2 linked regions of the Oryzias latipes genome follow. The protein of the gene in region 1 purifies or fractionates together with the protein of each later gene. This does not show direct contact. Links are inferred from orthologs where the notes say so. Each region holds a gene or a part of one and is shown on either strand. Other genes may lie near its edges. The genes, in order: pan2 and pan3.

Region 1 (4,266 bases):
ACTTACAATAATTAAACAAACATTAAAAATGCGGTAGCCTATGCGTGTAGAATTACATATTTATATTTTTTATCATCACTTTTGTTGGTTTGAAATGATCTTAGTATTGGTGGGAATTGTGGGAGTTTCCTCTCATTATTGTCCAGGTGTGCAGGTAAGTGTGAACTAGCTCAGTTTCACTTCATGACAATGGCAGTGCCCAGGAAGTGAGATTAACATTTACGTTTTGCCAAGTTGATTAATTGGAAAAAAAACTTGCCATGGGAATCCTCCTGTCCCTCCTGTCTACCAGAGAAAATGACCAAAATCTTTCCCATGAAATGTCTCTGTGAAAAAGACAGGAAGCAATACAAATAGTGGAATATTATACTTCCTTTGTCTTTCATAAATTGTGTTTAGTATTTTATCAATGAGTCGGAAGAAGTAACTGTTCCTCCTACTCGTTTAAGTAGAATCAGGAATGTTTTGCAATCAAGGACTTTATTGTAAACCTGAAAGAAGCCTTGAAAGAATTCCTTTAGAACTTAAGTGGAAATTAACCAATAATTACACTGTTTTTGCACATAAGTCAAAGTAAAAAAGACTCAACAGTTTAAGTGCAAACTTCTTTAGTGTTGTTTTTGTTTTTCTGATTCTACACTGTTCTTCAGTTATGAAGATTCAGTAACTATTACTCTACTTTTATAGAAGATGCAACACCTTTATGGTTAATATGCCATTGAAAGATAATAACATGCAAAACAATAACCTGAGTAAAAATAATCTTGTTTAAAATAACGTGACACTTTATGTGTTTTAGTTGCATTGGTGTAATACTTGGGGGGGGGGGGGGGGGGTCCAACATAGAAAGAAATAATCAACAGACGAGGCAGTAATCCACTTCTTAATAAAAAATAAAAAACAAAAGTAAATTCAAACGAAAATACAAATGGATATTGAAGCAGAAGATGGTTTTAAATTTGGGTTAGGTTAACACGCCCTATAACATGGATTTCCAATAAAATATTTGAAAAGGTGGTGGTTTTAATGTCACTGCGTTGCTGAGGATCACTCATTCCTCGATCACTCCATTTACTTAACCAGATTCACTAAACAAAGTGGTATGCGTTTAAAAGAATAGTATTATTACTGTTTAACACAATAAAAAAAGCACTGTGCCCCGAAACAGAAGACAAACGTCACTGTGGGGCCATTTACCCAGAACAGAAGCTCATGAAACCCAGCCGTTCTTGAACTCACCGCCGTTTGCTCCGGAAATACTTGTGCGTTGTTGTTGTGAATGGTGAGCATGGACACCTATGCGCCAAAACATTCCAACAAAAGGTTAGAAAATACTTTAAACACGAATTTTTAATGAGTCCATTTTTAAAGATATGACAAAATCTGCTTAGCGTTGTGTGAATTTAGTGTAAACACGGACGGTGGAAGCATTTTTTTATTTATTTATTTTTACCAACAATGCTAACTTTTAGCGAAATGAACCAACCGTTACTCACAGCTAGCCTTAGCTAGATTATTCTGATGTGACATTAAGAGTTTAGGCGCGAACGCCTAATTCTTTTTGATAAATGCATATATAGTACGATTTATTTGAGCTCTTTTTGTTTTAGCTAAAGATTTCTTTGTGAATTAGGTTCGGTTGAGCTTTCTCGGAGGCAGCGCCCGGTGGGGAATTTCGCCTTTATTTGACGCACGACGTGATCAATGTGTAAATCTGACCTTCATTTGCAGGTTGCTGCTGTAGCTTTTCCCCAGCATGAACTTTGAAGGTCTCGATGCAGGGATGGGGGAATTCCCACCAAACCTTCACGGGACTCTTGACGCGGGACTGGAGCCTTCCATGGACCCTCACCTAAACCCCAGTTTACTCCAGGGTGTGGAGCTGGAAGCGGAGGGCCTCACCATGACGGTTCCCGAGCCTGTGCACATGATGGAGGGAATTTTCTCTGAGCTCCACAGTGTTGTGTCAGAAGTGGGCATCCCAGTCACTGCAACACATTTTGATAACCAGGAAGAAATGCTCTGGATGGGAAACCACAGAGTGAGCGCATATGCAAACTGTGTACATTGTTTCTATAGGAACTCGGCTCTAAAACTGAACTGATTTACCACTGTTTTCTGGTATTCTTAGGGTCATGTAACATCGTTCTTTGGGCCTACAATGGGACGTTATTCATCTTTCCAAGTGCACGCTGCAGATGACATCCGGCACATACAGAGTTTGGAAACAGGAGTGCTCTTCCTTTCCAAATCCAACCTCAAATGCTACACGCGTGGCGGCCTGTTTATGTTTGATTATCCGTAAGTGGATGTGTGGATGTGTAACATTAACATGGTAACTAAAATATTTATTATGCACGTAAGTCTGGAAACAGCCTGGCGTCATAATGTATTAGAAGATATTTTTATGTACATATTTAAGTGAGCAGACAACATTTGTGTTCAGAATGGAGGAGGGAGCGGACATGCATAGTCTCCTCATGACCGGCAACAACACGCTCCTCATGGGTGGGCTGCAAAACTATGTTGCTGAAGTTGACTTGAATACGGTTCAAGAAACTCAAAAGGTGAGTAACAGACTTTCTTTTTAGTTCCTAAGTGCTATATGCAACAGGACCTGCTTAAAAGACCAAATCCGATGAAAATTGTGTTTTTGTCATTTGTTTTTACAATTTCTTGTGACATTTATCAGATGGATGACATATATTAAGAAACTTAGGCTACGTTCACACTCCAGGGCTTAATGCTCAATTCCGATTTTTTGAAAAAATCAGATTTTTTTTTACAAGGCTGTTCACATTTCCAATTAAATGTGAACCTTTGTGATCTCCTGTGTGACCGTGAAATGACCCAGAAGTGACCCGCATGCGCAGAAGAGTTCTCAATGGTGAACGACGTCACTTGTTGTTTGCAGAAGTAGCTAACGTTAACAATGGAATTTCAACAACAGTGTTATCAACAGCGGAGCTCTTTTTGCATTGTTACATTTATTTTCACAAAGGAGCCAGCACAATTACAATCTTCTCATTTTAAGAAGGCATTGGAGCCGGGATCGTCTGTATCCTCTGTTGTGTAAAGGGGATGTGTATGTGTTTGGGGCTGCACACGTGTGTGTGTGTGTGTGTGTGTGTGTGTGTAAGAGACAGGACAGAGCGCGTGCAGCGAGGTAGAGAATGAGGGGGGCAGTGGGGGCGCGCATTCATGTTGTATGTTAAAGGAGGAAGGAGAACGAGAATTAAAGAAGGTTTCCCCCAGAATAAATGCTATTGACTCTTTCTTAACCCGCTCTGGAGAATCTGAGGGTCCGAACGGGGAAGTGAACCCCTAAGGAGGATCCGCCTTCTGCCCTGGAGAAGGTCTCCCCCGCGCTTCTGACTAATTAAAAGCTGAATTAAACCTTGACAGTGGATGAGGCCCTCACATCCTCAGGTAGGCTGATCCACAGACGAGGCCCGTAGTTTCTAAATGAGGCCTCGCTGTGGTTTTTTTCCTGACCTTAGGATCTTTAGCAGCCCGCCTGAGGATCTAAGGGCTCTGGGAGGTTCATAAGTTAAAAGCAAATCTTATATAAAAGAAGGACCAAGACAATGAACACTCTTGTAAACTATTAAAAGAATCTCAAAATCAATCCTGAAGCTGACAGGGAGCCAGTGCAGAGATTTTAAGATCGGTGTAATGTGTTCCCTCTTCCTGGTTCTCGTTCAAAGGCGTGCAGCAGAGTTCTGGACCAGCTGCAGGCGAGATGCAAAAGAAAGCCGCAAAAATTACGCTTTCATCAGTAGCCCTGTAAAATTACTGTAATATTTGTTTTTCATAGCTGTCTTTGTTTATTTGTCTTGTGGTTTAAAAATCTGCTGGACGATGAACAAACTTCTTAATATCTTTCTAGGTGTAAAATAAAGCAATCAAAGTTGTTTGGAAAATAACTTTTCAATCCTTTAATAGATTCTCATGAATTTTATTTTTTTCCTTAAGTAAATGCTGCTTTCCCTCCTGTCAATGTGTTAATGCAGACCTTAATGCTCTGGACAGTGATATGTTAATATGTTGATACTCAAAAGGGATTTTATTTTACCCAAAGGTGTCTGCACAGTTTGCACGGCGTTCTCCTTGTGTGTGTTTGGGTTTTCTCTGGGCCAGCTTCCACCCACGGTCCAAAAACATGCTTCTTAGACTGATTGGTGACTCTAAACTGTGCCTTGGTGTGAATATGAGACGATGGCATGGGGAACTGTCCAGGGTATATCCCGCTTTTGGCCAACAGTA
Region 2 (3,819 bases), on another chromosome or scaffold:
TTGCCAGAAATAACCATTGAGGTTTGAATTGGCGTTACAGAATATGAATGCAGGACTTTAACGTGGCATTTTACCACAATGAAGCGTCAGAATTTTTTTTTTTGATCGACAAGTTTATATATTTAAAGACTCCATTTTTACACCCCAACCACATCATTAATCACCCAACTTGAGTTAACTTTTTTTTTTTGAACACATTTATAAAGCACTAGATCCGTGTATGCTTCAGAAGGGAATTTCTACCAAACTACTGCTGCTCTGCAAAAACTATGTCTTAAAAAATGAATTTTTTTAAATTTTGGCTAAAAACAACATATTCAGAACTAAAAGAGCACTTTTACAATAGATCGAAAGATGATCAAAATGGGACTTTAACTGTGGACTAAGAAAATGACTCCAAATTGCAACATGTCACCCTGTTTCAACATTAGAAACATGCATGGAACATGTGCTGTATCTCCCATTAAAACATGTTTATGGAGACTGAAGCATATGCATGGAATACGTCTAAAACTCACGCTTTTATAATTGTCCCAACTGATTATGTCATTATAAAAGCAAAATATAATAAAAAATGACTTCTTAATCACTTTCAGGAGTTTGTTTTTTTTACATAAACACTTTATCGAGTACAACTGACCAATTCTGTCAATTACTTTCACAATTCCTCAAGTTTAGCTTTTTATCATTTGCCTGATTTAAAGCAACACAAAAGTAAAAGGTGAGGTCACCAATTATTCAGTTATTCTGCTTTAATGAATAAGGTCACAACATTACAACTATTTCTCAGTTCATACAAGCCATTTCCAGCACTTCTGCTTTTGACTAAACACAGATTCTCTCAAGGTTGGTAATGTTTAGAAGTCACTTCTTTACAAAACCTTACCAGCAGCCTCTATTTAATCAGTATGAACAAGCAATAGATTTAGACTTAACAAAATTAATAAAATATTCCCCCAAAGACCTCAGTTATCCTCATTCAAATTGTGAAAATGTGATCCTTTAGATTTTATTTGTTCAACATCTTTTGAGGTTTAGCAAACTTCCACGCACAACCTTTAATAAAAGCTGATGATTTTAATTTATGAGCCCTACAAAATAAGATTCTTAAATGTTAAAGAATTATTTTTTATCCTTTTAGAGAGACTTCTGGAGGGAGAATTTAGAAAGAATAATAATTGTTTGACACTGTTGCGTCTTAATTTAAGGGACTAAATTCAAGAAGAGTGCTGTACAACATCCTGTATGTAAACTGCTCGCCTACCAACTTTCTCAAGAAGTTAAACTAGCAACCTAGCAACAGAATCCGGCACACAAAAACAAATTTCTTACTTTGGCCAAGTCCTCCTCGATTACATCATTCCTCATCTGTGAAGCATCCAGCTGGGTGTAAAAGCGAGCTCCAATCATGGGCATGATGTCATTGACACTTCGCAGGCGGGACTGCTCAGACAGAAGGTACCTGCAGAAACACACAAAAGACCAGAAGTCGAACATTGGATGACAGCAAAACAAAAGTCTCTCATCTCTCCCAGAAGCAGCTTTCAGCCTCTTCCATGTGAAAAAGTTTCAGCCTTTACAGTTAAACCTAAATCTGATATAACTTCAGAAGTGATGCTGAAACTTGGAAAATCTTTTTTTATGTGAACCATACATTAAAGCAGCATGATTTAGGATTTCAACTTGATATAAATTAAGAAAGATTTTAAGCAGTAAAAATGAATCAACGTGAATTTAAACTTTAGCAAAGTAAAAAAAGAAAAAATAAGTAAGAAGAAGCGTGAACTGAGAAGCAAAAGGTCAAATTATTACTTTTCAGAGCTTAGAAAAAGAAGTTGTAAATTAAAATGATTAAATAAAATGATTTTTTTGTTGTTTTTAATGGATGCTATGTCATAAAAAGTATATTATGTGAATGACGGATCATATTTACATTAAAAAAGTAGAGTATTTTTGCTTAAAAGATTACAGACTACGTTTAAAAGATCTAAATTGGTTCATTAGATTACAGAGCTAATTTCCTCTGCACTTAAACCTATATGTCTCATCCTATCAACAAACATGGAAGTTGAGAACAGCACTGATAAAGTTTGGCTGAAAAGCTTTAACAAAACGCAGAGACAACAGGCCCTAAACTGAATACTGAATCAATCAAACTCGTCTTTTCAGACCGGTGTTTTACTCGCCAGCTGGGAGTTGCCCCTTCAAACGTGGAGTGCGGCGTTATACCAACCTGGTCAAAATTCAACACATGACTCGTGAGGAGATTGTCCCTGAAAGAGGATCAGACTTGGGTCAGGACTCGGTGCCAGCCAACTGAAAAACTGTCTATCTGTTCAAGTGTCTCCTTTCTGTTCAATTTGGGCTTCAGATCTTCCCATCAACAGAAAGACACAACACTAACCAGACCCTCAGTATCTTAAAAATAAAAAATAAAAAATTAAGGAGTCTGTGTCTTTCATTTATTCACTTTTCTAATCAAACTTTGCCCTCGAGTCTATAGGTTCTCCAATGAATATTTTAGGAAAGCTTTTGGGTCTTGTTGCAGGCATTTCCATACTTTTTGTTCCTATAGTTAACATTTAATAAAAACCAAAAGACTTGGGCTCAAACTGCATCCAGCCGAGCTCCGGTGCGGCCGCTGGAATCTTTACGTAACTTGAAAAGTGCGAGAGGCAGATACACAGCATTCGGTTTGGTCCAGCGCGTGCCGGAGCACTTTTTCGTGAAGTTGAGGCAAATAAAACGGCCTAAACCTGAAATCATGCGTGGGAGTGTAAAGTGCATCTGGTCAATTTTTCAAAATAAAACTAATTGTTTCCACTGCACTCACTATGTTTTCACCGTGGTGTAAACATTACGTCATTTCCACTGACAAGGAGTCACAAAGTGTGCGGTAGAGTGTCATGTTGGTCATTTAACACAATGGACAAAGAGAGGCTGCGGTGTGAGCCCAGGGTTAGAACCTCACTATACAACAACTATATTAGTATTGCTAAAGAGCTGCACAACCACATTTTTTCCACTCCAGCTGTCAAAAAATTAAATCAACCTACATTTGGCTGAAACATATTTGGAACCTTTAACCATTTTAGAGAAATTCTCCTTAACCTTCTATTGAGATGAGACGGAGCATGAAGCCAAAATCCAGTAACAAGCAGTTACTTTTTACTGATCAAACTAGTGTGAATTTTAAAAACCATAGGAAACAAGTTGATTTCCTAAAATAAAAAATCCAAAAATAACTATAAACTTTCACGGTTGAGTCGGTGAATTTAAAGCTACCATCCATGTTTTTATTTTAGTTTTTTGGTTCAAACTGCCCTATATGAGACACCGATTCTGTTGAAACCGTAGCAAAATGTTGCAGAAGGTGTTAACTAAAACTGAGAGATGAATACACTAACCTTTTGTTTTGCCCTATTTCAGCACTAAGTTTTTTTTAGATTATGTTTTGAAGTCTTATTGCTCTTTGTGGTTAAGCCCATCAGTAACCACCAAACCAATTTCAGCCAGACACTTTTCACATTTTTAAGCCATTAAACCAATGATTTTTTGAAATTGATGAGCTTCTTAGGGAAGTTTTATTTTTTGTTTGATAATTCAAAATCAAATTAGGGTTTAACAAACAAATTTTTTTTTGATCTGCTTAAACCTCAAAATATTCTTTATTTTTCCAGCAAGTTTTTTGGGAAACCATTTAATTTTAAACTTTTTTGGTTTTATTCTTTTTGGGGGATAAATGAACTATTTGATTTATAAAGCACAGCTACAGGAGATTCCAAAAATATCTCTCACTACCAGCTGACCACATGTGCA

Evidence for each region.
Region 2: the proteins of pan2 (region 1) and pan3 purify together in Homo sapiens (co-immunoprecipitation; 5 studies listed by BioGRID and IntAct, with this or other methods). This does not show direct contact. The link is inferred for Oryzias latipes from reciprocal best matches to the Homo sapiens genes PAN2 and PAN3.

What each region holds. Positions count from the first base shown.
Region 1 is NC_019865.2:22,098,594-22,102,859, reverse strand, and holds the start of pan2 (PAN2-PAN3 deadenylation complex catalytic subunit PAN2), read left to right. Parts: upstream 1-1,237; 5' UTR 1,238-1,323; intron 1,324-1,731; 5' UTR 1,732-1,756; coding exon 1,757-2,041; intron 2,042-2,131; coding exon 2,132-2,301; intron 2,302-2,446; coding exon 2,447-2,567; intron 2,568-4,266. UniProt on the Homo sapiens protein: Catalytic subunit of the poly(A)-nuclease (PAN) deadenylation complex, one of two cytoplasmic mRNA deadenylases involved in general and miRNA-mediated mRNA turnover.
Region 2 is NC_019878.2:17,415,598-17,419,416, forward strand, and holds part of pan3 (PAN2-PAN3 deadenylation complex subunit PAN3), read right to left. Parts: intron 1,463-3,819; coding exon 1,333-1,462; intron 1-1,332. UniProt on the Homo sapiens protein: Regulatory subunit of the poly(A)-nuclease (PAN) deadenylation complex, one of two cytoplasmic mRNA deadenylases involved in general and miRNA-mediated mRNA turnover.